Linked DNA regions of Lonchura striata. The protein of the gene in region 2 interacts with the protein of the main gene of each other region in a pairwise test. Links are inferred from orthologs where the notes say so. Each region holds a gene or a part of one and is shown on either strand. Other genes may lie near its edges.

Region 1 (7,053 bases), on a different chromosome or scaffold from region 2:
ATTATAACATTTTTTTCTAAGTATCTATTAAATTATATATAATCCTTCTGAGGGCCCAATTTGGTACTTTGTCATCTGGTAAGAACATAATTGGCAAAACTAAATATATATGAAATCAATACATTTCTTTTTGTTCTTTGTTATTACAAAAAAATTTTAAATCCCCACTAAATGCCTACTGATGTCCTCAAATGGGAGAGATCTACTTTCAAGCCACTTTTCAGTGAATATATTTTATCATTCATATGAAGTGGAAAACCTCCAACCAGGAAGATTGCAGGAGGGAAGAGGATACCCTAAGAACAACCAACAACATGTTGCTCAGACCACTTTAACAGAAGATCTGAAGCTGGTACAATTTGTTTTAAAAAATTCCTGGCACTCTTTAATTGCATCTCCTGGGACTAATTCCCAAAGATCTCTGTATTTTGATCTCAAGTGATTTTTTTCTCTTCAACCTTCATGGATCCTTTGTTGTATACTTTAGTAAGTGATCCCCAATTTGGGTGAGTGTTTGAGGTGTTTTTTTTTGTTTGTTTGTTTGTTTTCCATTCCTTTGCCCTTAATAGTGACAAATGAACAAAGAATATTTTAACTTACTTTTTAATTTTTTTTTTTTTTAATAACAGAATAATGCAGCCTTGAAGGACAGGCTCTTTAAAAAGAACTATGTTCCTTTATCTTATTTCACAGTATCACTGTAGCTTTCTTCCCATGGAGGCTCTGAAGGAATAGGAGTGCATGGATCCATCCCAAAGCTTAGGATAAGCAAGGCCTGCTGTGGAAAGTTTCCTGCACAGGAAAGCCAAGGTACCTCCAGGGCTCTGGGAGAGCAGCTCTCCTCCAGCTGCTGGATTTAATGTTTGTTTTTCTCAACTTGGCTTCAGGAGCAACTGCTGATGCAGCAGCTGAAACAATGAGCTGCAAACACAGTAGGGATATAATAGAACTGTGAAGGGAGGGATGTAAAGTGCTCAGCATTTGTAGGGTTTGGTTGTTGTTTTCTTTTTAAAGAAGTTCTTTTTTAGTTGATTGTGATATTAGATGTAATGCATTGTCTGGGTTCACATTCTCAAATATCTCTCATGATTTGCTCTCATAGGAGGAGTAAACTGCTGATATTAAGCAAAACCCTCAGTTACCTGAAGGGTGAGAGAAGATAAAAGGGTGAAATCCTGGTAGAAAGTGAATTTTCATCCTAAATGATGAAGCCAAATGAGGTCAGGCTGATACCACCTGATAGAATGTGCATTCATGATTTTTTCCCCACCATCTCAGAGTCACTGATACAAAGCAACAATATATCAGATAGATATAAATACCAGATCCCAATCATCTGTTCATGATGCTATTTTAAACTCTTCCACGTGAGAAAAATGGTTAAAAATAAAAATACAGCTCTTTTATTTTCCGTTAAATGTTCTGTTCAGTTCTTCATGCTGAGAGAATCACAGACCTGTCTATAAATATCTAACCCAGATCTACAATTGCTTGTTAAAAAGAGAGTGTTTGGTAGAAGATTGAATGAAATACACTATATCTTTTATTATATTTTTATTACAGACCAGATGTGGCCTCTGTCATTTGGAGATGTATATTCACCAAGAACATTGCATGTGTGCATATAAATATTTTCATGTTGTAATGGTATAATAAAGGGAAATTGGTTAGAAAAATCCCTATGGGATTTTCCACTTAAGAGCACATTTTTGTTTTAGCACTATTGTCTTCAAAATAAACATGTATGAATGTATCTATTTTGATTGATCCAGCAGAAAGCAGCTGTAAACAGGCAAGGCTTTGGCTTTTGGTTCATGAATAGCCCTGGCAAGTTGAGTGAAACTTGTGCAGCCAACGAGCCCAGGAGGTTGTGTCTTGGATGCTGCACCTTGAAATGCTGCTCCCTTCAAACTCAAGCCTGCTCTGGTGGGGAAAAATGGTCACCACACTGACATAGAAGAGGAAATGGAAATCCAGTCAGATTGCACAGGTCCCTAAAATTACTCTTTATATTTCCACACAAACTATTCACTCTCTACAGTTATTTCTGTGTATTCAGTCTACCTGTTTACAGAGCACAACATTCAGAGTCCTGGGCTAAGGACCTGGATTTCTGTGCTGTTTGACTTTTGGCATTTAATCACCTGTCCAGGCTATTTGGAGACTTATTTCTCTTTACATTCCTGTGGGAGCTTAGCTACATGTAATGCAATCAATACATGCTGAAAGGCCCTAATTGAGGATTTCTGGATGCAGGACAAGGTAAGACTGAAGAAAACTTAGACATATCTGCTGAGGTATTTTTCGGTCATGTTGGTTTTTAACTCTGCCATTAATCAGCAGCAAGCTCCCATATGGTAGTGTTGAAATAACTGCTCCTAAACTTCTCAGACTTGTCTCATTACTCAGGTACTGCATGTTTGTAATTCCTTCACTGCCAGCATTTGATCTATACTCTGGTGCCTCCCTCAAAGCTGGAGGAAAGCAGGTGTTCTGTTCTAGCAGTGGAAAATGCCTAAAGCTGCTCTCTCTGTAGACAGCATGCGAATGATGATCGTCCTAGCCAGGATGATGGTGGTTGGTGCTTTATTTCTGCCACAGTTGGTTAGTGTGTGGAAGATGCCTTTTCTCACATATCAAGTACTATGCTAAAGATACATGTAATGTGACAGTTTCTATAGTAACTACTTTATGGAATTGCAGATTAAACCTGTACACCTTGTTATTGTTCTTTTATCCTATTATCTAGACTACTCAGTTACCACAGATACTTTTTTTTTATTCTATTCCCTTGCCAACATAACTATACCAGGGATTTATTCATTTGCAACTAAAGAGTATATATTAAAAACAAAACACTTAGAAGTTTTAAATTGACCACTATCTGATCTTATAAACGGAGATGTTTGTGCATGTATATTGAAAGCTAAAATTCCAAAACAAGACTGTAGAAATATTTTTATTAAAGCAGGTCAAAATTATGATTTGAATATTATTGTTTTGCTGAGAGAACAAAGCAAGTTATGTATTTCACATTTATTTTCTAACAAATTTTACTTGAACAAATTTGCCTAGATGTACTAGCAAACTTTTAATATGAATGACATCTAAGATTCATTATTATAGGAAAATTTTCTCAATATGGTATACTGATTTAAACATGAAATTATTTCATTCTTATAATTTGTCAATTCTGCTGATAATATCAGTACTGGAAGTGATATCATTTACAGGAATCAGATGCTTTCTGCTTTGTATTATGTTAGCCTTATTGTGGGAAAAAATGCCTGCATCCCGTCTGCATGTGACAGTGTCTGTTGCTATCTCCGGCAGAAGTGTATCAGTTACAAATCAAGCTTATAAAATTAGCAGTGTAGGGAGAAATCAGCTACTTGATCAGGGCTGCAGATTCAACAATGCAACTAGTACTGTAGCCAAAAGGAAAAAGACACTAGGAAAAATGTAAAATATGAATCGGGTAAATCCAATAATGAGATAAAAAGAAAACGATACTCATCGTTAATTAAAGAAAAAAAAAAGCTGTAGTAAATTACACATACACAAATGCAAAAGGCAAAAGGGGAAAATCAGAAAAAAAATATCCGCCCAGTACTGAGAGCAACTGAGTGATGGTAGAAGTGGAAAGCAAACAGCCGATAAATCCCGTGTAACTAAAGAAACTGTTTTTTCTCCCTTTACCCTTGACCGTATCCTTCCAACACGTATGTGACTGGTTGTGGAATCAAGCCTAAAACTCGTGCCGCTGCCAGAGCCGGGCACTGCTGTGCTGCAGCGAACATGGACCCGCGGAGCGGCCCCGGGTGCGGATGCAGTTGTGCAGAGGCAGAGCCCGTGGCACGTCTGTGCCCGCACATTATGTAACGCGCGAGTGCAGCGGAGCGTACGAGCCGGGGAAGAGGCACAAACCCCTCGCCAACACCCAGCTCCTTCTGCGCCGCGGCGGGGCGGGGGCTGCGGGGGCTGCGGGCCCGGCCGCCCCCCGGGCGGCAGCCGGAGCCGGAGCGGAGCCGCCCGCCGGCCGCGCCGCCGCCCCGCCCGCGGTACCCCCGCCGTTGGCGTGGAAACGGGCTGGCGGCTCCGGCTCCTCCTCCAGCGCCAGCCCCGCGCTCCCCCTGCCCGGCTCCCCGGCGAGAGCGCGGAGCACCTCCCTGTCTCCCGCGGGGGGTCGCCGGACAAGTGCTCCGCGGCCGCCCTTAGACCAGCCCGGGTTTTTTTACGGTTGTGTTTTCTAGGGAGAAGATGGGAAAGGGCAGGTTCGTGCTCCTGCTGGGGCTGCGGGGCTAGTCCCTGCAGTCGTGGTGTGTGTCTGCTCGGCAAATCACAGATGCTGATGTGAAAAAGGGCCAAAGCAGAAGAGAGGCGTCAGTGGATGAGAGCTGTTTGTACTGATGGATTGAGGAGGTGGAGGCTGCCCGCCTGGTGCTGGAGAGGTGAGTGCAATATTCCGCATTTCCTTCTCTCCTAAATCAGTTCAGTGATCAACATTTCCAAAAATAAAAAGGAACTAATATAGCAAGAAGAAAAAAAAAATGTTATTTTGAAACAATAAGCTATGCTTCTGCTGGATAAAAAACACGAGTGTCACAGTGAGGTAGGGACATTTCGCTGTGTGTAGACAAAAAATAGTAAGGGGAGGCAGGCTGCTGATACAGTGAAAATGACCTTCTCAAGGGATACTGGCCTTCTATTAGCTACTGCTTCAGCTTGGGCCCTTCTTCTAAAAATTAAGTGATCTCCCATTCCTAGCCTGAATCGTAACCCATTAATAGCCAATACCTGAGCCTTAATAAGATCCGTTGTGTTCCCTTAATGATTCAGAAAGATAATCCATTCGATTCTGCCTGTTGGGAGAAGAACCTCCACGCTATGTAGCACCTCCTCCCAGGGAAATGCAGCCTGGATAGCATTCTATCAGAAAAGACTCCTGCTGCCAAATTTCCGTAATAAGTCCTCCTGGTAGCAGTCTCATCTGCTCATTGGAAGGATGTGTGGCTCTGCAGAGCCTGGGTGCATTCCCTCTCCGTGTGTGCCCAGGCATGTGAAGGAATGAGGAGGGTTTCTATTAATCTGCACCTGTGGACGGCTCCCATCTGCACTTGTGAACCACAAGTTTTTTGGTATCTTTGCATTTGCATTTTGGGTGAGCACTTAATACACAAAACCTCCAAGCCTTCAATGTTAGCTGAGAGAGCTGCAGACAAATAGATGTCAGTTTAATTTCTGCTCACAGAACTGATCTGATCTGCTTTTGGCTGTTTCACTGTAGAAGACGTTTAATGTGTGTTCTTGCAGTATTTGTTCTGCAAGATACTGACCTATCTCAACATCTTCCTGGGAAGATTTGAGAAAAAAATCCCTCCATCATGTCTTTATAGTTGTTTATATCCATTTTCTGATAGCCTCACACCCACAAATTGATTTTTATTTGGGCTCAGTATTTCGCGCCATTGTGGGTCACACCCTTCGGGTGGCCATCAACATTTCATCCATAAAGGTTACAACAGCAGGTCAGGTGTTGTGAATGCCTACTTGTGGATCACAAAAGGGCAAAAAATGAGTGTGTACTTTGGACTTAAGGGAAATTTTGTCTGACTTTGTGGATATAGACATTGGAAGTACGAGCTGATGCCTTAGGAGCTGCTATAGGCAGAAATCCTCACTTTTCTTCAACAGGCACAGATTTGACAGCTGAACAGACACAGCTCTGCAGAATAGAGAGTGTTTTGCCATTAACCTGGCTGTCTCCATCAAATCATTTGTTTGGAAGCTATCATGCAAAAAGCTCAGATCCCTGCCCTTGGATTAAGGACATTATAGGAGGAGAGGCCTATATATATAGAAGGATGAAGATGTAGTCTTAAAGAAGCCAGCGACAGGTGTAATCAAAATAAAACCTCTTAGTTATAAGGCATATTTAGGAGAAAAACTCATGCTATCTTTTGTTACCAAAGCACTGATTGCATTTTCAGAGAAGAAACCCCTCCTGTGTACATATGTATGCTTATAAGGAAGAAAAGCTGATTAATTCTGTGCAAGGCATGGAATTTCACTCTGACAATGAACCTTACAGAGAGGAATAAACTCCGCATGCTACGTAAAGAATGCTACACCTCTGGCTGAGATTATATGCTTGTCACTTCATAGGCCACTGGTGATAAGAGTTGAATAAGTCTTCTGAAGATGCTACCTTGAATTTTGTAAGCCTCCAGAACAGTTTAATGTTTCAGTTGCAGACCTTGGTTTTGAATTTAGTGTCGGTGATCTAAAAATAACCAGCCAGGTAGCTCTGAAGGACTGAGGTGAAAGTGTTCTGGTTGTCTCAGTTCTGACTATGCACTGATGGAACAAGGTGTGTTAAATTTTAAGAAGTGTACCTAGAAACAGAAATTTGTCCCTTCTTAAGGAATCTACCTGCTAAGTGGTAGGGAAGGGGATAAGGATAACAGAAAAATCAGTAGGTAATAGAAGCTCAAATCCTTAAATGGTGAAGTCAGCTTTTCCTCTGTAGCTTAAGCAGATAAGGATTTTGACAGCAGCCTTGGTTGATACACAGAGGTGAGGCAATATAGGGAATGATGCTTTATTCTCTCTCCTCCTCCATAAATTAAAGATAAATACTTCAAATTCCTTTGGGTTAAATCACAGTAATCCCACTTATTTCAGATGAGATTCTTCAGATTTATGTAACTGAAAATGAGAGTTGAATCTGACTATTTCTGCTAAAGTTTTGTTCCTGCTTTCACAGGAGTCACTGGAAGTTTTGTCATTTATTTCAGCTGGAGAGAGCCCAGGACACACAGTTTCACTGATCAGGCTCCCCCTTGCCTTTAGGAACAGCAATGTTGAACAGTTTCTTAGCTGGTTTATGTGAGGTCACAGGCTCAATGACAAATTCAGTAACTCTCTACTTGCATCACAAACTAATTCATAAATTATCAGTTACTTGAATCATGCTTTTTTGCTGAGAAAATGGGAGTGTTATGAGTGTTATTCCCATGTTAAGGTTGACAGTACCCACCCTCAGCAGTAATA
Region 2 (7,666 bases):
GGCACCAGATCACTCAGAACCTGCTGTTATTCCAGGCAAGAGCCCACACTGCTGAACCCTGAGTGTGGCATGGCAGTGGGGGTGCCTCCTGGCCTTGCTGTGCCCTGCCTGTTTTTTTTGGGGTGCTCAGGCATGGCCAGAGGTTGGTGCACAAACTGATCCGACAAGCAGGAGGAGCTGGGAGGGAAAGACAGAGCGGCTCTTACCTCCTCCTGAGTTTTCCAAAATTCTTTTATCCAAAGGATAAAAATTTGGGGGAAAAAAAGAAGAGGAAAAGCCCCAGGAGCTCGAGCTCATGCTCTGCAGAGCTTGAGGAGTGACACAGTGGCTGCTTTGCCACTCCTGACCTGTTGCTCACAGGGAAGAGCTCTGAGCACTGAGCTCACCCACTCACTTTGCATCAGCCCAGCTGAAAGCCAGGTCCAGCCTAAAAGCAAAGACTAGAAATGAAGCTCAGCCAAGAGGGGAGAGGATGCACTTCAGGAGATGGCCGAGATGGGCTGCTCCAGCACCTTGGGCAGACTCAGAACCAGCTACCCTGCCATGGTATTTTTCTCCCTTACCCCTTCTGGATTTCATTTCATTATTTATCTGCCTTCAGTTCTTTCTTTTTTTAAACAATAATACCAAAACTGCACCCTGACTGAGATACATTCGTGTCACTAAACTCCTGCTTCTCCACTACAATCCTGTGAGGTGGAGGTTGTTTAATTGCTGAAGAACATGACTGTATTTTGATCAGTGGCTTGAGTCATTTGTGGGGAAGGGCTGACGCGGAGCAGCTAAAATCCTTGTAGGGAAGTCTGATGTGGCTCTCTCCCTTGGGAGATACTCTGAAATATGTGCCCACTGGGGTGACCCGTTTTCCCAAAGAAAACTACGTGCACCAGGCCAGCAAATGCCACAGCTCCGCTCATCCAGCATGACATGGGATGAGCATCTCCACTGACAGGGATGGAGATGCATCCAGAGGGGAATGAACTCCCCTCGCAGCAGGGGAATCCCTCCCACTCGCTTAACACGTTTTGTTTAGTTTCTTAAATAAGGCCATGGATCCGTGCCAGAGCAGCCTCATGGAAGCAATGGGGAGAGGGAGCTTCCCGGGGAACCTCTCGGTGCCCGCACACGGCAGGGTGACCCACACACAGTGTGGTGGCCTGCACACGGTAGGGTGACCCATGCACAGCGCAGTGACCTGCACATGGCAGGGTGACCCAGGCACGGCAGGGTGACCCACACATGGAGTGGTGATCTGCACACAGCGCAGTGACCTGCACCACGGCAGGGTGACCCACGCACGACAGGGTGACCCGCACATGGCAGGGTGACCCATGCATGGCAGGGTGACCCATGCACGGCAGGGTGACCCACGCGTGGCAGGGTGATCCAGGCACGGCAGGGTGACCCACGCGTGGCAGGGTGATCCAGGCACGGCAGGGTGACCCACGCACGTTAGGGTGATCTGCACACAGCGCAGTGACCTGCACCACGGCAGGGTGACCCACGCACGGCAGGGTGACCCACACATGGCAGGGTGACCCACACACGGCAGGGTGATCCAGGCACGGCAGGGTGACCCACACGTGGCAGGGTGATCCAGGCACGGCAGGGTGACCCAGGCACGGCAGGGTGACCCACGCACGGCAGGGTGACCCATGCACAGCAGGGTGACCCGCACACGGCAGGGTGACCCACACACGGCAGGGTGACCTGCACACGGCAGGGTGACCCATGCACAGCAGGGTGACCCACGCACGGCCGGGTGACCCATGCACAGCAGGGTGACCCATGCACAGCAGGGTGACCTGCACACGGCAGGGTGACCCACACACGGCAGGGTGTCCCACGCATGGCAGGGTGACCCATGCACAGCAGGGTGACCCGCACACGGCAGGGTGACCCGCACACGGCAGGGTGACCCGCACACGGCAGGGTGACCTGCACATGGCAGGGTGACCCGCACATGGCAGGGTGACCCGCACACGGCAGGGTGACCCGCACATGGCGCGGTGGCCGTGCTGGCCCTCTCCATCCCTTGACCACGGAGCCGCGGTGCCAAGTGGCGGCACCCCGCGACGCCGCCCACGCGATGGGCTCGTGTTGGGCGACCGTCGCATGTCACATCCCTTCGGGGGACAGCCGCGTCCTCGACACCACCGAGGCACGTCCCTCAGCCACCCCTCGGCTGTGCCGCTGCTGGAGAACCCCGCGGGGACCGCAGCTGGAGGCTGCCCTGACCTCAGGCAACCTTCCCGAGCCCCGGCGGGCCGGGTCAGGGCCGCCCATCGCCCTGGCGAGGCTCAGCACCCTTCGCACGGTGCCCGGGGAGCTGCTCGGGCAGGGAGCTCCGCCCGGCCGAGCGCTGCGTGGATGCTCCGGCGCCGCCCTGGCACCCACCTGTGGGTGCAGAAGAGCCGGGGAGGCCTCCGGGAGGGGGATCCTCCCTGCAACCCCCGCCCCGGGCTGGGCAAACCCCGGTACAGCCGGCCCTGCGGCTGGAGGGTGCCCCCCTCCTTCCCCCTCTCCATCCTCCTCCTCCTCCTCCTCCTGCTGGCAGGAGCCCTGCCCTCCCCCGGGGGGATGCGGCGGGGAGTTCCCCCTCCCTGCTCGGTGCTCGGGGTCCCCACGGAGCATCCCCCCGCCCCAGCGCTCGCACACGGGGCCGCTGACCGGCAGCAGCCGGACACACGGACGCACGGACAGGCAGACGGGCACGGGCAGGGCTCTCCATCCTCCGCGGGGCTCGGCGCGCGTGGGGAGAGCCGCGCAGGAGGGAGGATGCCCGGGGCAGGGCTCCATGCAGGGGGAGCGCGCAGAGGGGCTGGGGGAGGAAGAGAGGGTGGGCAAAGCGGGGTCCGCCGGGGGAGCGAGGCTGGGCTGGGCACCGGGCGAGGGAGGGGGCGATGGGGGCGCGTCCCCCCCATCCGCGGCAGCCCCTGGCCGGGGCGCGGGGTACTCACGGGCCGGGCATCCGCGCCGCCGCCGCCGCCCCCGGCCGCCGCCGCTGCGCTGCCGCCGGGCTGGGCACCGGAGGGAGAGGGAGCGGCAGCGGGAGCCGAGCGGCGGCGGCGGCACTGCGCAGGCTCCGGCCCGGCCCCGCCGGCCACTTCCGAAAGCGATTGCAGCCCTGGCACTTCCTCACGGCACACACACGCACGCTCGCACACGGACACCCACCCGCGCCACCCACGGACCCGGCCCCCTGCCCACTGTGCCAGCGCCGGGCACCCACTGCTGTGCCCAGCATCACAGAACCAGCGCTGGTACCCAGTACCAGCACCCTGCACCCAGTACTCCACCCTGCACCGGCGCCCAGAGTCAGATATTGGCACACCGTGCTCCTACTATTGATACCCAGCACCATGCACCGAGTGCTGGTACAGTGCCGCTATTGGCACCCAGCACCAGCATCACGTACCCAGCACTGGCTCCCAGTACCAGCACCCAATAGCACACCCAGCACCAGCATCACGCACCCAGCACTGGGTCCCAGTACCAGCACCCAATAGCACACCCAGCACCAGCATCACGCACCCAGCACTGGGTCCCAGTACCAGCACCCAGCACCCAGTGCCACACCCAGCACCAGCATCACATACCCAGCACTGGCTCCCAGTACCAGCACCCAGTACCACACCCAGCACCAGCATCACGTACCCAGCACTGGGTCCCAGTACCAGCACCCAGCACCCAGTGCCACACCCAGCACCAGCATCACATACCCAGCACTGGGTCCCGGTACCAGCACTTACACCCAGCACCAGCATTGTGAACCCAATACTGGCACCAACACTGGGGTGTTCTCCCATCCCCAGAGGATGGGGAATGGCTGTCTGTGAAACTTCCCCCAGACTGCTTCCTACCTAAGCCTCCCTCCCCAGGAGTGGCTTTCCCTCTGTCAGTGGTTTCTCTGCTTTTTTTTTTTTTTTCTCAAAAGCGGGGATTATACATCACTAAAAATAAAGGGTGATAAAACTTTGGGAGAGAAAAGAGGCATAAAAATTTCATGATCTTGCCAGCCAGGGAAATTATCCCACTTCATTATTTAAAACCTCATTAAAAACCATTTCCCTGGGAGAGACAATGATCAAACCGCCATCTATTTCAATCCTCGAGACGTGCACTCAGCGACGTGGGGGACGTGTTTAAAATAGGCCCCAAATGTGACTCCTGCAGTGAAAACTCCACCCCGACCCCCACCCATGCGAGCAGCATCTCTGAGCTGAATCCCTCTGCCTCTGCACTGGGGGATCAGACAGACCCAATGTGCCTCCCACATTTTCAACCTGCCATGTCCAGCACTCTGGATTTTCCTCTTTTCACCCATTCAGGTCACGACAGTGGGATCTACACAGCTCTCACCCAGGGGGGACTTCTGCAGACAAAGCAGGGTCCCTCCTCTGACTGCAACTTGTGCAAATCTTCAGAGCAGCTCCAGTGTGCAGTTGTGACTGCCAGGCTGCTCCCTCCTGCTGTGTGACCGGGCCACCAGCCCTCACGATTTTCTTTAGCAATTCATTTAACTGGAAGCTCACATAAATGCCCATAAAGGCTCCCACGTCCTCAGGAACTGCTTTGTAGTGTGTGTTTGGGATTTTTAGAAATTCCCACAAACATTTGCCCCATCCCTGGAAGTGTTCAAGGCCAGGTTGGATGGGGCTTGGAGCAGCCTGGTCTACCGGAAGGTGTCCCTGCCCATGGCAGGAGGCTGGAATGAGATGAGCTTAAAGTCTTTTCCAATCCATGCCATCCCAGGATTCTATGATTTGGGCTTGTGATTCCTTGTGATTCTTCATCCCATCTGTCCCTTCAGATGATGATGAGAAACCCCCTTTTCTTTTTAACAAAAATGTGGATTGTGAGGAAACGCCTGGAGCTTCCGAACCCCCTGTGCAATGGGGCTATCAGTGAACAGCCAGACTCGCACCACTGGTTGCTCAGGGTGCTCGGCCTCGCACCTTTCCCAGCCATCGGAAATGCTGCCAGCGATAGCCAGGAACACTGCTGCGTGTCTGAAAGCTGCTTTCCCCCGTGCCAGCCTGGAGAGCTCCCGGGGAACGACTGGCAGCATCCTGCCTCACCCGGAGGCACCGGCGGAGAGAGCGGCAGCCTCGCTCGAGCCGTGTCGGTGCTGAACGGTGACAGCCGGGGCGGAGGCGCCGCCCGGAGCTCCCGGGGCCGTTCCCGGTGCCGCTCCGCAGCGGAGCCGTCCCGGCGGTGCCGGCCCCGCTGCAGTGGCGGGACCTGCCCGCAGGTGCCGCCCGACTCCGCCGGGAGCGCGGCCGGCGGCGGCTCGGGGGCTCCGGCGGGTCCCGGGCTCCGGGCATCCCCGGCGGCTCGGGGGCTCCGGCGGGTCCCGGGCTCCGGGCATCCCCGGCGGCTCGGGGGCTCCGGTGGGTCCCGGGCTCCGGGCATCCCCGGCGGCTCGGGGGCTCCGGCGGGTCCCGGGCTCCGGGCATCCCCGGCGGCTCGGGGGTCCCGGGGGCTCCGGCGGGTCCCGGCGCTCCGGGCATCCCCATGGCTCGGTGGGGCCGGGGGTCCCGGCCGCTCGGGGGGGCGCTGGCGGCTCCCTGCCCCCGCCGATCGCCGCGAGAAGGAGCTTGTGCAGAGCTGGGGGCGGACACGCTGCGGTGTCCCAGGAGCCCGGGAGCTGCTGCCGGTTCCTCGGGTACCCGATGGACACCTCGGAAGGAAGTCCGGATAGCAAGAGATGGGCATCCCATCGGTGTTGCCCCTAATTTTTTGTTGGTGTTGTTAAGTAGGGTCAGCAGGACCAGGACAGACACTGCCCTCCCTGTGCTGGGAACTGCTGAGGTCACACCTCAAAACCGGTGTTTGGTTGACAAGGTGACATTGAGGGGCTGGAGTGTGTCCACAGAAGGCAATGGAGCTGGTGAAGGGCTTGGAACACAAGAAGATCTCGAGGGAGCTGAGGGCCCTGAGTCTGGAGAGAAGGAGACTCAGGAAGGACCTTCTCACTCTCTGCATCTACCTGAAAGGAGATTGTAGCTAGATGGGGGTTGATTTCTTCTCCCAGGCAACAAAAAACAGGACAAGAGGAAATAGCCTCAAGTTGCACCATGGGAGGTTTAGGTGGGATATAAGGGAAAATTTCTTCCAGAAAAGGTTGTCCAGCATTGGAGAAGCTGCCCAGGGCTGTGGTGGAGTCACCATCCCTGAAGGGATTTAAAAGCCTTGTGGATGTGGCACTTGGTGACATGGTTTAGTGGTGGGTTTGGCAGACGTGGGGTAATGGTTGGACTCAATGATCTTAGAGGGCTTTTCCAACCCAAACAATTCTGTTTCATTCTGATTCTGTGATTCTAAGAAGGTGCTGGGTGAGCAGAGGTGAGCTTTGCCATAGGCTGCAGGGAGCTGTGAGTACAGCACACCAGCACCTGCAGAGCTGGTTTTCCTCTCCAAGGAGGACTCCAGTAACTCCAGGCAGGATGCTCAGGAGCAGGAGGCCTCTTTTGATGAATATCTGAGACGAGCCAGCCTGTGTCAGGACTGAGATACAGCAAGGTTCCCAATGGGTCTGCAAAGCACAGTTTGCTGGAGAAATCCTGTCAACGGTTGCTCAATGCCATCTCCAAAGTGCTCTGCAGTGTCAGCCTGGCTGCAGCAGCAGAATGGGCTGATCCCTTCCAGGGTGTTTCCAGCCTGTGTGCTTCTTGAGAGGCTGGCAGGTGATGAAGCTGGATGGATGAAGGCTTCAGAGATGTTTTGCTTTAGGAAAGCCTTTCCCCCCACCAGCTATCTGGGCTTTTTAAAGCTTTCCAAGCAGCAGAGTGTATTCAGACTGGAGTGACCAGAAGAGATGCTCCTGGCACTGGGTTCTGAGGAAGCAACAGTCCTTGAGCTTCTACAGCCCAAGTGAGAGGCAGAGGAGAAGCAGCTCTGAGCACAGCCTGCAGGAAGTGTTTGTCAGAGCTGAGATTGGAAAGATCACGTTCACCCTGTCCCTGAACACGCAGCTCCTCTGCCGAGGGCAGCTGGGGACACGCTGAGGTGATGCTCTGGTGTGTGCACAGAGCTGGCACGTGAGGGTGCAGGAAGCAGAGCTGCTCTGGGGACCAGCCCTGCTCCAGGGCAAAAATCCACCCTGTGAATCTCAGTGGTGGAGCTGTCTTGGCAGAATACCTGCTTTGAGGTGTGCAGTCTCATCACAGCTAATTTTTTCCCTTGTGAGAAGTACCTGTGCACCCTTTACAGCCTTTTTACTCTTTTTTAAGGCCTCAAAGCTTCCTGTGGAATGTCAGAGACACGTTTCCAATCCCAGTCTCTGCCTCAGCTATCAGGTGTGCTACAAACCTGCATATCTCTGTGGCTCCCCAGGGCTGCTCACAGGCTGACTCAAGAGTCATTCTGTTGGGGTCATGTTTTTGCCACAGGGACCTGAAGTGCAAAGATTGCCTCTCCTGTACTCAATCTTGAAGATAAAGCAGCAACTTGAAGTTCTGGAGTGTGTCTGGAGGTCGTGGAGCAAAGTTTAAGAGAGGATTTTGCACTACCAGGCTCAGAATTTGGTCTTTAAATTCTATCCCATTTAGAGGGAAAAGGGTCGATTATTTTGATTTCCTAATGTAACAGAGCTTATGCAATCACATTGTATATCAGCCCACTCATGTTCTTCTAAATTATTCTCTTCAAAATATTTTTAACC
Region 3 (7,345 bases), on a different chromosome or scaffold from region 2:
CACAGGGACAAGGCTGTGAAGGGGTGACAGGAACCAGTGGGGCATCAGAATCAGAGCTTGGGAAGGGAAAGGAGTTATGATGACCTGCAGGGCCATAGGGATAGGGCTAGAGTAGGGGTGATGGGGACCAGCAGGGCTGCAGTGACAGGGTATGGGTCCTGGCTCCAAGGATGGAGCGTGATACCCTGTCCCTGTCCCCAGGTGCGTCGGGCCATCCAGCAGATGCTGTTCCAAGGGAAAGACTTCAGCTGGATCCGCCACATCACCATTGCTGTGATCCTGCTGACTTTCATCAACCTCCTTGTCATCTTTGCCCCCTCCATTCTCGGCATCTTCGGCTTGATTGGTGGGTGGCAGCGCCCTGCTCCTGTCCCTCCCTGATTGCGGGGTGTTGCAGCAGCGTGCCAGCCCCTGTCCTGACTGGTGCTCAGCTTTGTCCCACCCTTCCGTGCCTCAGTTTTTCGTTCTCACCATGCCAGGACCAGGTGGTTGCTGGATCGCCCATCCTATCGCTGTCCTGGCAGGCTGGTTCCCACAGCACAGTGTGGCATTGCTCTTCCCCTGCGTGCTTCCCTTGATCCCCCCAGCCAGGCTCCCCCCGCTCAGCACTCAGCTCGGTGCCAGGGCTGCGGGAGGGGTGTGGGACAGTGCCAGCACACTGCGTCCCTGGGTTCCTGGAAGGCTTTGCCAGGACTGGGGGGGGCAAGGAGGGGGTGGGGGTGGACAGGACCTGTCCGGGCAGTGGGGCTGGCAGGGCTGAGCTGCAGGGTGGCAGGTCCCTGCCCACTCTGTCCCTGTCTTCTTCAGGTGCCACCTCTGCTCCCTGCCTCATCTTCATCTTCCCTGCCATCTTTTACATCCGTATCATGCCCAAGGATAAGGAGCCACTGCGCTCCACCCCGAAAATATTGGTAAGCATGGGCAGGGGTACAAGGATGGGGGCAAGCATGGGTTCTGAAGCTGGCTGGGAACCCTGTTGCCCTGGCCATTCCCTGAGTCCCTTCTTTGTCTCCACAGGCTGCCTGCTTTGCCCTCCTTGGGGTGGTCTTCATGATCATGAGCTTGAGCTTCATCATCATCGACTGGACCACGGGTGGGGGGAAGAGCGGCGGCAGCCACTAGCCACTACCGGGTGCCCAAGCCAACCTCCCCCCCACCCACCCGGTGCCCCAGGGAGAGCCGACCCTGGGCTCAGCCCCCATGCTGCAGCCCCACCAGGATTCCCTGGGGACTTCTGCTGTTGCTGCCCGTCACCTGTGGTGATGGTGAGAGGGCATGAGCCATGGCAGGCATAAAGACTCCTCAACCTGTGTCCGGGATGGGGCAGTGAGCCCGGGGCAGGTCCTGTGCCCCCCAGCCACTCCAGCGGGCACCCTCCCTGCTCTGCGCCTCAGTTTCCTCATCTGTAAAATGGGGAGAATAATACTGCCCTACCTCACCCGGAGCTGGCTGTCAGGTGGAGCTCTTCTGCACCCCAAGAGCCACCAGCAGCAGGCACTGCCAGAGGCGCAGGGCACTGCCTGCCGTGGGGACCGAGGACCAGGCACTTCCCTGGCCTCCCCCAGACAGCATCAAGAGCCTGATGAACAGTGTCCATGGGGGCTGGAATCCAGCGGGGTGGTCAGACCTGTGACAGCACCTGTGCCCAAGCCACCCACCCTCTCCCCTGCCATCCCCCTATCCCCAAAGAGAAACCACCCACTGCCCTGGCATCATGGGGTACCCTGGTTCCTGTGGACCAGCGTGGTCCTCGTGCTGCAGCTGATGGTACCCAACCTGCTGCTCCTGAGCCTGCCAGGGGAACTGTTGGCTCCTGCTGCTGCGGATGGGAGCCTGCCGACCCCTAGGCCATGGATGGGGGGACCAGCTGCATTGCTCCAGGGAGGTGGCATGCACGCCATGGACTTTGCATCTGGCATCCTGCCCCTGCTGCAGCTCGGCTGCTGGGGGCCTGGTGCACCCAAGGGGCATATGAGGGGGGCTTGTGGGGGGCTGGGGGCAGCACTCACTGGGGGCAAGCTCAGGGCTCTGGAGGCACCCCTCATCTGCATGCCCAGATGCCAGGGTGATGGGCACCCCAGGGTGATGGGCACCCCAGCAACCCAAGCTGTCCCTGCTTGCCTTGCACCCTGGGCCAGCACTTGGACCCCTACAGCCCTCACCATCCACCCACCCATCCATGCCGCTGAGATGCCCCAAACCATGCCAAAACCCGGAGAGCGGCTCTCCCACCCCCCACCTCCCCTCCCAGTATGGAGGGCAGTCCAGCAGGGTGGGCAGCACAGGGTTGGGGGGGGTCTGTCCTGCGGCAAAGTACATAAGAGACGTATTTTTTTATGTGGTGGTGGAGGCTGCGATGCTTTTTATAAATACTGTACATAAGAGCAGATCTTTTTTAACGTGTTGTGTTGCTCTGGGTAGCTCCGTATAATGTACACATCATATCGGGGGGCACCGCCGTGGACTCTCACCATCGCCCCGGGTCTGCTGCTGTTCCTGTCACCAGCCTGGCTGCCCCAGGGCCACCTCTGTCATTTGTAAATTATTGGTGGGAGTGATGCTGGCGGTGGCAGGAGGCCAGAGGTGAGAATAAAGATGTGAATGTGCCCAGGTCTCAGGCATCACTGGGGCGGGTGAGGTGTTGGCACGCAGGCTGGTGCCTCACACACGGCATCCTGAGGTGGCACGGACAGATAGACATGGGCCACAGGGGTGCACAGACATGCACGAGGACAGCAGGGATATATGGACATGGATGTGCAGACGGATGAACAGCAGCACAAACAGCACAGACATACATCAGGACAGCACAGACACGCAGACATGGATGTTCAGGGGCCTCCATGGGAGCAGGGCCCCTGTGGAAGTTAGACCCCAGGGAAACTGGACCCCGAGGGAGTGGGATCCCTGGGGAGCAGGACTCCTGTGAGAGCAGGATCCCCAGGACAATGGGACACGTGTGGGAGCACGGCCCTGGGGAGTGGGACTCCTGAGGAGTGGGATACATGGGAGCAGGAACCCCAGCAAGTGCCATGGCAGTAGTATCCCTGGAGTGGGGCTGCTCTGGAAGCAGGGCTCCAGGGAAGCGGCGCTGGGGCATGTCGTGCCTGGTGCCAGGGCAGTGGGTGCCCCCAGTGCCCTCAGGGCCAGCCCCCAGCCCTCGCCCATGGCACAGTGCGGAGTGGGGGTGAGCCCCCCCGGCCTGGCCCCTCGCTCTCCTCCGCCAGCCCCAGGTCTGGGCTCAGTGCCAGCTCGTTAGCAAAGCCTTGTTAGCACGGCAGCCCGCTCCCACGGGAACAGCCCTGCTCCCCACGCCAGGCCCACGGGCACAGGCCTGCAGACCCCACGGGGGATGCTCTATCCCTTCCCCTGGCATTCTGAGTTGAAAGCATCCCTGGCTGCCCTCATCCTGCTCAGCTGGAGCCGGTGGGGGTGTGTGGAGGGGCTGCAGGGCCCGGGCAGGTATGAAGTGCTGCTGTGGGGCTAGCATGGAGCGAGGGTGGCTACCTGGGCACGGGCCAGTCCGCTGGGTCAGCGGGCACACCTGGCCCGCCTCCTCAGGAAGTGTGGGGGGTTCTAGTTCCTAAGGGGGCAGCCTTGGGAGTTGGGGCATGGGGTAAGTGCCTGAGGGACCCCCTGTTCTGGGAGAAACCTGGAGATGCCCCATCCTGCCCCATTCCCTGTCACAGGCACCCCGCTCCTGGCACCTGCCAAGGAGCTCCCTCCTCCTGCGGCAGGGGACACGGGATCCTGAGGAGTGAGAGATGCCAAGCTCTAAGCCACCACTCTGTGACACCGTGTCTCCCCAAAAGGTAGCCCTGAAACACAGCATCACCCAAACCGCTGTTCCGAGGGCTGCACCCGCTGCTCTGCACCCAAAGGACCCCGAAACGCAACACCTGGACTCCATCTCCCTCCCCATCTGTGTCCCGGGACACACCACGTCGCACCCACAGGTCCATCCCGGGACACACCGGGTCCATCCCGGGACATATCGTGTCTCACACCCACAGGTCCATCCCGGGACACACCGGGTCCATCCCGGGACACACCGTGTCCCACCCACAGCTCTATCCCGGGACACACCGTGTCCACCCCGGGACACACGGTGCTCCCCTCCCTTCCCTCACAGCCCGCCCCTCCCGCCGTTTCCCGCCGCTGCCGCCTGAGGGCCCGCGCGCCCACCGCGAGCGGCCTCGCCCCGCGCGCCCCGCCCCCAGCCCCGCCCCGCCCATTGGCCGCGCCCCGCTGGCCCCGCCCATTGGCCCCGCCCATTGGCCCCGCCCCGCGCGCCCGGGGGCGGGGCCTGTCGGGGCGGGCCGGGCCGGCAGAGCCGCGGGCGCGCGCAGCAGCCGCCGCCGCCGCCGCCGCCGCCATGGGCTGCACCGTGAGCGCCGAGGACAAGGCGGCCGCCGAGCGCTCCCGCATGATCGACAAGAACCTGCGGGAGGACGGCGAGAAGGCGGCGCGGGAGGTGAAACTGCTGCTGCTGGGTAAGAGCCCCCCGGGCCCCACCCCCGGGCCCCCCATCTTGGCTTCTCCGCCCGGCTCGGCCCGGCCCTGCCGGAACCGGGCGGCCTCACCACCTCCGCCCCCCGCTGCCCCGGGGCCATCCTGGGTACCAGCGCCAGGAGTGCCCCGCCCCGCCCCGGAGATCCCCCGTGAGTGGGATGCTGGCCCCAGCCCAGGCTTGGGGTTCTCCCCACAGCGAGCTGCCGGCTCCATCGCGGGCCGCGGGGATGTCCCGCCCCAGCCTTCCCGGTTCCCCCCGGAATGGAGCAGCAGGCCTTGGGCTTTCCCCCTGGCGTCGGGTGTTGATTCCATCCCAGGTCCCAGCGATCTCTCCCAGGACTGGGGTGTTGATCCTGTCCAGGGATCCCCCAGGAGTCGGGTGTTGATCCTATCCCAGCTCCCAGGCATCCTCCCCAGGACTGGGGTGTTGATCCCGCCTCAGGCATCGCCCCCCTCAGGAGTGAGATGTTGATCCAATCTGAGATCCTAGGGATTCCCCCCAGGAAGGGGTTATTGATCTTATCCCGGTTCCCACAGATACCTCCCCCCCCCCACACACACACACCGCCAGGAATGGGATGTTGACCTCATCCCAGCTCCCAGTGTCTCTCCCCGCAGGACTGGGATGTTAACCCAATCCGGTTCCCACCAGGACTGGGGTGTTGACCCCAGCCCAGCTCCCAGGGTTTCCCCACAGGAACGGAGCCCTGTACCCACAGCAGACCCTGGGTCCTCTCTGCAGTGGGGTTCTTCCCCCACCCCTCTGTGAGCAGGATGCCAGCCCCGTTCCAGGCTTTGGGGATCCCCTGGCAGTAGGGTGCCAGCCCTACAGAAAACCTTGGCTGCCCCTCAGAGAGGGTGCCACCCCACCCTGGGTTGTGGGGATCTGCCCCAGAAAGAGCTGTCACTCTGCTATGGTACTGTCCCCCCGGTCAGTGTCCAGTCTGGACACCTTTGGGACAAAGGTGGGGACATCCCCACTCTCCTGTTGGATGTCCCCCCCCAGCAAAGGTCCTGCAAGCTCGGGCACCCTGTCCCACCTGCCCAGGATCCCTGGTCTCCTCCATGGGCTCCTCTTACCCTGGCCTCTGGCTGTGATGGAGGTAATGTGATGGAGGTAACGGGGCTGGCAGGCACCCTTTGCCCCATTGCCACTGGAGCACTGGGACAGCCCCGAGCCTCTCCATCACCCTGCCCTCTCCGTGGGGGTTTGAGGGGCTTGGGCCATTGCCGTGGGCAGGGCCCCCCACATCCCACGGGCTCTCTGTCTCAGGGACACTCGATTTTGGTTCTGATAACGGGCTTTTGCTCTTCAAAGCACCCTGGTGATGCTCCCAAGGGCGTTCACAGCCCTGCCCTGTGCCTGCGGGCAAGGCAGCACTTCGTTATTTTAATTCATTATTTGTCTTAATGACTCCCAGTTGGGCTTTTTATTCCCTTTGCGAAATTCCCAGAGAGGGCCTCCCTCCAGGTGTGAGGTGGGAGCGCTTGCTCCCATGGCACCGTGGGGCAGCGGGACAGAGGGAACCCTGACAGAAAATGTCTTTGGACTCATCTGCTGTCTGCAGAGGAAGCTGCCAGCAGCAGGAAGTCATGCTGAAATCCGGCAGGCCTTTATTTGCTCAACCCCTGCCTGCCTTGAGAAATACGTAATTTACGCCTTAAAATGCTCCTTTATCAGAGTGCGTCTCTTTTTTGTTTTATTTTATTTTGATTCTTTTTGCCTTGGCACGAGCAGTGCTGGCAGCAAAACCCATCCTGGAGATATTTGGAAGGGATCTGTGCTGTATGGGGGGGCTCGATGGTTGGGCACACTCGCTGCCCCATTTTTTTTTCTGTGGAAGGGAGAGTGGAGCCCCGTGGGATATGTGGGGTAGTGGAGAAGCATGTGGTAGCTCTTTGTCATGAGCTGCTCCCGTGCTGGCCTCGCTGCCTCCTCTGGTGGGAAGTCATGGGGAGGTATCTGGCCAAAGAGGTTTGGCACCTCCAGCCTCGGGAGGCTCCTGGGAGTGTCCAGGACCATCCAGGCAGTATCACCTGGTGCTGGGAGGGCCCATCCTGTTGGTGCTGAGCATCCCCGAGGAGCAGCTGCGGGCTCGCTGGGTGACAAGGATTATGGTGTAGGCTGACTAGCTGACATCCCTTTCTTGGATCTTGCTCTGTCCCAAAGTGGAGGCAGGAGGGGGAAGAGGATGTCCGCACTCCCTTCTGCTGGGGCCGGTGTTTACGAGTGGCATTTCTGATCTCAGCTGCTTTCTAAAGCCAAAAATAGAGCAAAATGGCTCTTTCTGTACATTAAAAAAAAAGGTTTTTCCTTCCCCGTGCAGCTGGTCAGGTGTCAATAGCACTAGAGCCTTGGGTCAGTGCTGCCCATTTCCGAGCTGAGCCTTGGCTGGAAAATCCTCCCAAGCCGGGAGGTGGGGCCAGCACTGCCCCCCTGGGGGCTGCTGCTTGTGACATGTCCCCTCTGTGAGGTGGGACCGTGCTGGTGGGATCCTCCCACCTCCCTGCTGCTCACCCTTGTATGGCTTAGGTTTTTTTCTCCTGGTCAGGGGAAGGTTTGAGGAGACGTGAGGCCTCACATGTTTTTTTGGTGAGCACCACAGCTCCTCATCACTCTCAGCAAGCTCCAGGGTCCTCTGTGGGGGCTGCAGCCCTCCTGCCTCCTCTGGAAAAAATTGAGAGAAAAACAGCTTCACCCTTTGTGCTGCATCAACCTATAGCATGAGGAGGAAATGTCTCTTCCAAGCGTGGCATTTTTTTTTGGTGTTGGCTCATGGTGTCCCACTGCTGAACTTTGGAGCTGGGGCACCACAGCCAGGCAGGGCATGGT
Region 4 (7,133 bases), on a different chromosome or scaffold from region 2:
TGTAATTTCTACTTCTGCTCCTGCTATCTAACATTTCAAGGATTAACTGGGCAGTGTGTAACCTCTTCTATTCCTATGTAACAATGTCTGCTCTCTGTTCCTTTGTCTTAACATTCCCCAATCTGTCTATAGATTCCTGTGCTTGTTTTCAAGGCAATATCCAAGTGTAAAGCTGCTTCAGCCATTCATGAGGATGAGATTTATTATCTAGAAGCACACCAATAATACAGTATTAAAAAAAAAATAGCACTCTTTCATCAAAATCTAATGAACATGCGATTTAATCTTTATTAAGAATTCATTAGGTTCTCAGCAAGGCTGTCTAATGGAGCTTGACCAGGTGAAATGCTAATGCCTACATTATATTTGAATTAATTTTTAGCAATGTTGGTTTCCCCTCGTTGTTCCCCGCACATCGCTCTCCCTGGCGCCCGCGGCTGCGCGGTTCTCTCCAGATGCTGCTGCCGTGCTCATAGCAACACCGCTGTCCCCACCCCAGCCTCCACACACTTCACTGGAGTTTCCACACTCACAGATGCCTCCCCATTTCCCACACTAGAAGCCCATCCACCATAGCAGCTTCCTTGACGTTTTCATATTAGGTACAAAGCTGCAAGCCTAGCATGCCTTACTTTGAGTAGTTGTAATGAAATGCATGTATATATATACATATATATACATATATATATATATACATCCACAAAACGGGTATAATTCAGTCCTCAATATACCAATCTAGTCCAACAAACAGGTTATTATCTTGATATGATTTGCTTCAAAAAACAAGAGCTCTGCTCTTTGGAAAACAAGATTGTAGGCTTTTTGTGTAGCCAGTGTGGTCACTGCCTGCCCTCCTGCCTATGGGCTCTACATGTGCATTGTGCTGTTGTAGTTCCCACAGCCTCTCCCTTTAACCAAAACCCATCACCTGCCATTCCAGCATGCTTCTGCAGAAGCAATTCCTAGAGATTAAATTATTTATTGGTGTTCATCTGCAGCGACATGTCTCCTCATCCACGTTCTGCACACAAACAAGAGCAAATCAAACCTACCCCACCCCAGATCCAAATCGAACTATGGGGGAAAAGCCCTCTTTCAAACAGTAAAAGGAGACAATGAGAGCCTCTACAGAAGTAGGGTACACAAACGTCAGTGGGGAAAGCCACGGATACCACTGTGCACTGGAGGCAAATCTCCTCACAGTGAGACCTCCCAGCCCCGCAGCGCCTTGGGAAAAGCATTGCCTCAGGCGGGGATGATGGTTTCATTGAACCCCCGAGGGGTGGGCACAGCGGCCACGGAGTTGATACAGAAATATCCAGGTCACCCGCTAAGCCACCCTGCCTGGAGAGGAGCTGGGCTGAAGGCCCAGATCTGCCCCAGTGGTGCACGCACATGCACGCGCACATGCACACCCACATTCACACACACACGCGCACACTCTCACTCTCTCACACACAGGCACACACTCACACACACGCATTCACACACACGCTCACACACACACGCACAGGCGGGGCGGCTACGGGAGCTCAGGGCTGCAGCTTGCGAGGGGCACGGGCCGCTTTGCTGGTTCGGGGGCCCCTTTGGCTTCTCCGCGGCCCCTCCGGAGGCAGCGGAGCGCGGTGCCGAGGGGCCCCGCGGGCGCTGTCCAGCTCCAGCCGCTGAACGCCGCGCCGGGACCCGCCCGTCGGCCCGCGCGGCCCCGGAGCCCCGCGCCGGGACCCGCACCCCGCTCCCCGCGCCCCATCCACACCCATCTCTCAGCCTCTTCCCCTCGCTAAGCAATCCCGGTCCCGGGAGGGGGGGCCCTCCCAGCCACAGATCTCTCCGCAACCACCAGCATCGCAAAGCGGCAACCGCTCCCAGCTGAAATCCAGACCCTGAACCAGCGCCCAGGCTCGTTCCGTGATGGCGCCCGCCTCCAACCAGCCCGTCATGTTTGTAGCGGTGGGAGGACGGGATATTTAATTGTATTTTAATTTTTGAAAAAAAAAAAAAATGGATGGGGGGAGAATAGTCGCACCACGAGTGTACCTCCACCTCCATCAGCCTTCTCCGCACCTGCTTTCCTACGGGGTGCATTTACACGAGCCACGGGGATGCTTGTAAGGGACCGTGCGGTGGGGCTTTTCACTGTTGTTTATTACACGGTTATATCTAATTAAACACAGAAAAAGGGTGTGGGAAGCCCCAGCGAGGAGCAGCGCCGAGTACCACAGGGAGACTCGGATCCCAGAGCAGAAGAGATTTGAATGAGTGGCCAAGCTCGTCGTTCATTAATTAAAAGAAGAAGGTACAAGCTCGATAAAAGGGGCTTTCAGCGACAGAGAGCCTTGGTTTCAATCCGCAGAGCCGGCAGATAACACCCCGACATTAAGCAGAAGTGACAGCGGTTGGCTGCACGGGGACATCTGCGCCGAGGGGGAAGGTGGGCTGCCGGCCTCCCCGCACCGCCGCCGGGGGCGAGGCCGCGGGGCGCCGCTTCAGCACCAGCGGGCCCTGGACAGCGCCGGGCGCGGCGGCGGCCCCGCCGCGCTGCCTGCGCGGTCCCCTCAGGTAAACATGGCGCCCGCGGCCCTCGCTCACCTCCGCGAGCCCCCGCCCCGCTCTCCCGCCCCGCACCGCCGCTCGCTCGCTCCCCCCGCGGGACTTACTTCATTTGCTTCACGATGGTGCTTTTCCCCGACTCTCCGGCTCCTGTTGGAAGAGAGATGAGGTGGGATAAGCGCGGGGAAAGAGGAGGAGGGGGGCGATGGGGGGACCGGCGGGTTCTCACCGAGCAGGAGTAGTTTCACGTCTTTGGCCGCGCTGATCCCGTCCTCCTTCAGGTTCTTCTCGATGGCCTTGCTCCGCTCCAGGGCGGCTCTTTCCTCAGCACTCAGGGTACATCCCATGGCGGCGATGAAAATTAAAAAAAAAAAAAAATTAAAAAAAAAAAAGGGGGGGGAGGGGGGATGCAGCCCCCGCCGCCTCGGCTGGCTCCCGCGGACAGAGAGGAGGCGGCGGCCGGGGGGCAATAAAAGAATTAAAGCAAATGGCCGTGAGGCTCCGGGTAGCGCAGCGCCTCCGCGGCGGGGCTCCCGGCTCCCTCTTGCCCCTCTCTCCCCGCGCCCGAGCGCTCAGTGCATCCAGCGGGGCTGCAGCGGGCACGGCGAGCTCTTCCCGGCCGGGAGGCGGAGGCGGAGGCGGGGGAGGAGGTGGAGGAGAAGGAGGAGGAAGCGGGTTGGCGGCGGGGGAGGGCGCGTCCCTCTCCCGTGCTCCCGACTGTCGCTGTCCCCTCCTCGGCGGGCGGCGGCGGAGCCGAATGGAGGCGCGGGAGCGGCGGCGGGCGGGCGGCAGGAGGGAGCGCGGGGGCGCGCCGGGCTGCGCGCTCCCGCCGGCCTCGCCCGTGACGCGCGCGGCTCGCGCATGCTCGGGCCCGCCCCGCCCGGGCCCGCGGGCAGCGGCCGCCCGCTCTGCACGGGCGGGGGCGCGGCCCCGGTGCCCGGCCCCTCGCCCCGGGCTCCCGCGCCTTTCCCCGGGAGGGACGCTCCGCGGCTTGGGCTGCTGCCCCCCGGCCCGGTGACTCCGAGCTGGGGTCTGCCTAGGTGGAGGGTCTAAAGGGGAAGCCATACGAGGAGCGGCCGAGGGCACTTGGAGAGGAGATTGAGGGCAGAGCTCATCGTGGGCTGCAGCTTCCTCGGGAGGGGCCGTGCAGGGGCAGCACCGATCTCTTCTTGCTGTGACAGGAGCCGAGGGAGCGGCTGGAGTCATGCCGGGGGGGGAATTAGGTTGGATATTAGGGAAAGGTTCTTACCCAGAGCGAGCTTGAGCACTGGAACTCCCCAGGGCAGTGATCACAGCACTAAGCCTGACGGATTTCAAGAAGCCTCAAGGCTCTCAGGTGGAACTCTTGGGAATGTCCTGCTCTAGGACATCATCAGCCCCTGTTCAGGTAGGGCTAGGAGTTGGACTCGGTGATCCTTGCAGGTCTCTTGTGTCTCAGGCCATCCCACAGTTCTGTGGTCTGGCCCGGCAGCGCAGAGCTGAGTGCTTGGGGATGTGACAGCGGTGTGTGTACGGGGGCACTGGGCTCCCCTGGGCACTGCCCCGGCCACTGTGGGAACCCTGGCTCCCCACGTGCCCTGAGCATCCCCCACAGCTCCTGCACCCACACCCTGTGCCTGCCCCCACCCCACAGTGCTGTGTTTGTGACCTGACCTGCAAGGAGCCCTTTGGGAGCTCCTCACGGCTCAGGCAATGTGAACACTTGCAATGTGAATCGTTTACATGCTCCATGCAAAGCATCAGGTTTCACCACCATGTTGGATTATGTTTTCCATCAGTGTAATTAACGGAAGGTTTGGGTTTTTTGTGTTGCAGTGTGGTCACAGACCTCAGCAGATGACCTGCCTTCTTTTCATATCTATTCCATGACATCTAACAGTGATTTAAGAATTCTAGTGAATTAAAGTCCCACCATTTTCCTGGCAGGTTTTGCCATTTCACAAGGATGGAAAAGAGAGAAGAAAACAACTGTCGACAAGGAAAATAAAATAAATAGAACTTTGTTTAAAATGCTTTCCTACAGGCCCAGACAAGTTAAAATATACTCAACTTTAATCCATAACATTGATTGATATGTGACAATCTAGCTATAAAAAGATATAGAGAGGAAAGAAGTGTTGAGCACAGCAAGGTAAAATGCATCAAACTAAAATTAAGATAATCAAGGTTTGCTACCTGATCCATGGAAAGGACACCCACCATTTCAGTACACAAGAAATCTGCAAAGGGAGGTGTGGTTGTTCAGTAGATGTGAATGCTGAGGCTGCTGATTTTGCCCCCAAAAGCCACTCCACCTCTCTGCCAAAAAGCACCCAGCTACAGGAGGCTTGACAGGAACATCGCTGTGCTGTGGGAAGGAAATGCAGGGCTGCCCCACAGGCCTCGGGGAAGGCAGGGGGCTGCTGTTTGTGCTGTTGGGTGTGGGTGACCATGTCCTTACACTGTGTGCGTTTTCCACTTGGGACCTGATCGCTGCCTCCTCTGTGAGCATCTCACCTGCTGTCCTGAGTTCACCAGATCCCATATCCAGGACTATTTCCTTAGGGGTAGAAATGTAATTTCTAATAGCACTTAGAGTATTCTAAGCATGAAGTCACAGGCACTTTCCTTCCAGGCAACCATCATCTCCTCCCAGTGCTGTTTCCCATTTCTTCTTCCTCACAGAACATGCTCTTCCCATTTTCCCTCCTGACCTCTGAAACAAAAGGGAAAAACAGGATGTGGGTAACGAGGTAAAGAGGGGGTATGAAAGAAAAGCAGATAAAAGAAAGCAAAAGGTAATTTAGTGTATTCTACTATACATTTGTGAGCTAATAGGTACAATATATTTGAATTTTGGGTAATTTATTTCTGGAAGCTCAGGGAACTGAGATGGACAAGCAAACCTACAGCATGTCTTCAGCAGGGAATAAATGGAGATGGGTGTGGTTACAGAGCAGTTCCTGCTCTTTCATATTCGCACAAATCTCATGTGTAAAATCAATGGGATCAGAATTTCAATCAATAAGTTTCATTTCAATGGTTCTAGCTAGAGGGAATTACAAAAAGTCCTGTATAGAAAAAACACAACGAAGAAATCCAGAGGCAGCGTCCTCATGAGATAGCTGCATTTTCTTCCCATTTCCTCCAGCAGCTTGCCAGCCTTGGTCTCATATTGGGAAACTCTCCAAGGGTTTTACTAAGAGAATTAGTCTTTTATATCAGCCTCCGGCTACTCGTTATCTGACAAATTTGTAGCCTGGGTCTCCTGCCATGGAGAAAATTATTTCTCTTCTTCTTGACCAGTGTGGAGTCTGCAGTCATCCCTTTGTCCCATGATCATCCCCATTGCTACACAATAATCTGCTAATTTCTTTCTTAAGGGAAAATCAGAAATTGGCAAGTCTTCTCCTTGCTCTCTCAGCTCTCAGAAAAATTCAGGGGAGCAGCTGTGAAATTGAGCCATTTCTAAGCCACTTTTTTTCCTGCTGCTAACTGAGCAGAGCTGGTGGAAATGTTTCTTTCAAAATTTTCTTAGAGGGAAATTTAATTTTTTTAAAAAATCTGCTTATTCATGGCAGATGAATTTCAAGAACATGAAAGAAAAAAGGTTGCCTCCTCCACCAAACAAAATGCATTCCAGCCTACTTGGCTTTTGAGATAAATATATTGGGTTTTGTTGCTGAAAAAGATGTTTCCATTTTTCAGGAGCTGACAGGACTCCTCTTTTAATAAAAAGTGGTTGCTGGTAGTAACAACTTCAAATGAAAATAGGCTTCTTTTTTTCCCCCTTTGAAAATGAGAGAACCTCTCCATTAAAGGTGGAGAGGAGGCACTTTCTTTCTGGCTATCCCTGCAATTAAAGTATTTCATCAAGATACATAAAGAACTCGCTTGTTTCTGCTCAGACTGCTCTCTCCCAAACTTAAGAGTCAGCAGTGTATTTTAAGCAAAAGTCTTTATTCTCTTGTATCTGATCTGTGCCTCACCAAACCCAGCTTCTTTCTGCAACCAGTTTTCAAACATTGTGCTAGGAAAGTTAATCAGATAGTCATTTCTTTAAGAAGTGAAGGATGGTAACAGAACTGATGGATGCCATTGAAAAAGACTGTGCCAAAGTGGTAATGTGGGGTAGATGACAACTTTATGATCTCATGTGTGTTGTTTTATCCTGGCTGCTTCCAGACTGGGGAGGGATGAGCCTTCCAGAACACATCACCATCGTGGGCTCTGCTACCCAGCTCAAGGGTTTGTAGAGTGCTCTGCCTTTCTTCCTGGAATCACAGAACAGTTTGGGGTGGAAGGGACCTTTCAAAGGCATCTAGTCCAACCCCTCTGCAGTGAACAGGGAAAGATCCAACTGGGCCATGTTTCTCAGAGCCCTCCCCAGTCCTGCATTGAATGTTTCCAGGAATGGAGCATTCATCACCTCTCTGGGAACCTGCAGTGTTTCACCCCCCTCAAAATCAAACATTTCTTCCTTATATCTAATTTAAATCTACCCTCTTCTAGTGTAAAACATGACTTATTTTCTTATCACAACAGATCTTACTGAAATGTTTGTTCCCACAGCTTGCCAGGAGGTAGTAAAGAGGGGTGAGAAA

The links.
Region 1: the proteins of RGS19 (region 2) and GNAZ interact in a two-hybrid assay, tested with the Homo sapiens proteins (2 studies listed by BioGRID). The link is inferred for Lonchura striata from reciprocal best matches to the Homo sapiens genes RGS19 and GNAZ.
Region 3: the proteins of RGS19 (region 2) and GNAI2 interact in a two-hybrid assay, tested with the Homo sapiens proteins (2 studies listed by BioGRID and IntAct). The link is inferred for Lonchura striata from reciprocal best matches to the Homo sapiens genes RGS19 and GNAI2.
Region 4: the proteins of RGS19 (region 2) and GNAO1 interact in a two-hybrid assay, tested with the Homo sapiens proteins (2 studies listed by BioGRID). The link is inferred for Lonchura striata from reciprocal best matches to the Homo sapiens genes RGS19 and GNAO1.

Annotation. Positions count from the first base shown.
Region 1 is NC_134620.1:4,247,691-4,254,743, reverse strand, and holds the start of GNAZ (guanine nucleotide-binding protein G(z) subunit alpha), read left to right. Parts: upstream 1-4,053; 5' UTR 4,054-4,451; intron 4,452-7,053. UniProt on the Homo sapiens protein: Guanine nucleotide-binding proteins (G proteins) are involved as modulators or transducers in various transmembrane signaling systems.
Region 2 is NC_134619.1:6,745,306-6,752,971, reverse strand, and holds the start of RGS19 (regulator of G-protein signaling 19), read right to left. Parts: upstream 3,015-7,666; 5' UTR 2,961-3,014; intron 1-2,960. UniProt on the Homo sapiens protein: Inhibits signal transduction by increasing the GTPase activity of G protein alpha subunits thereby driving them into their inactive GDP-bound form. Binds to G-alpha subfamily 1 members, with the order G(i)a3 > G(i)a1 > G(o)a >> G(z)a/G(i)a2.
Region 3 is NC_134614.1:10,279,536-10,286,880, reverse strand, and holds the start of GNAI2 (guanine nucleotide-binding protein G(i) subunit alpha-2), read left to right. Parts: upstream 1-4,323; 5' UTR 4,324-4,375; coding exon 4,376-4,493; intron 4,494-7,345. Other genes in the region: SLC38A3 (sodium-coupled neutral amino acid transporter 3), read left to right, coding at 202-346, 808-911, 1,018-1,122. UniProt on the Homo sapiens protein: Guanine nucleotide-binding proteins (G proteins) are involved as modulators or transducers in various transmembrane signaling systems.
Region 4 is NC_134615.1:15,386,372-15,393,504, reverse strand, and holds the start of GNAO1 (guanine nucleotide-binding protein G(o) subunit alpha), read right to left. Parts: upstream 3,021-7,133; 5' UTR 2,898-3,020; coding exon 2,780-2,897; intron 2,701-2,779; coding exon 2,658-2,700; intron 1-2,657. UniProt on the Homo sapiens protein: Guanine nucleotide-binding proteins (G proteins) function as transducers downstream of G protein-coupled receptors (GPCRs) in numerous signaling cascades.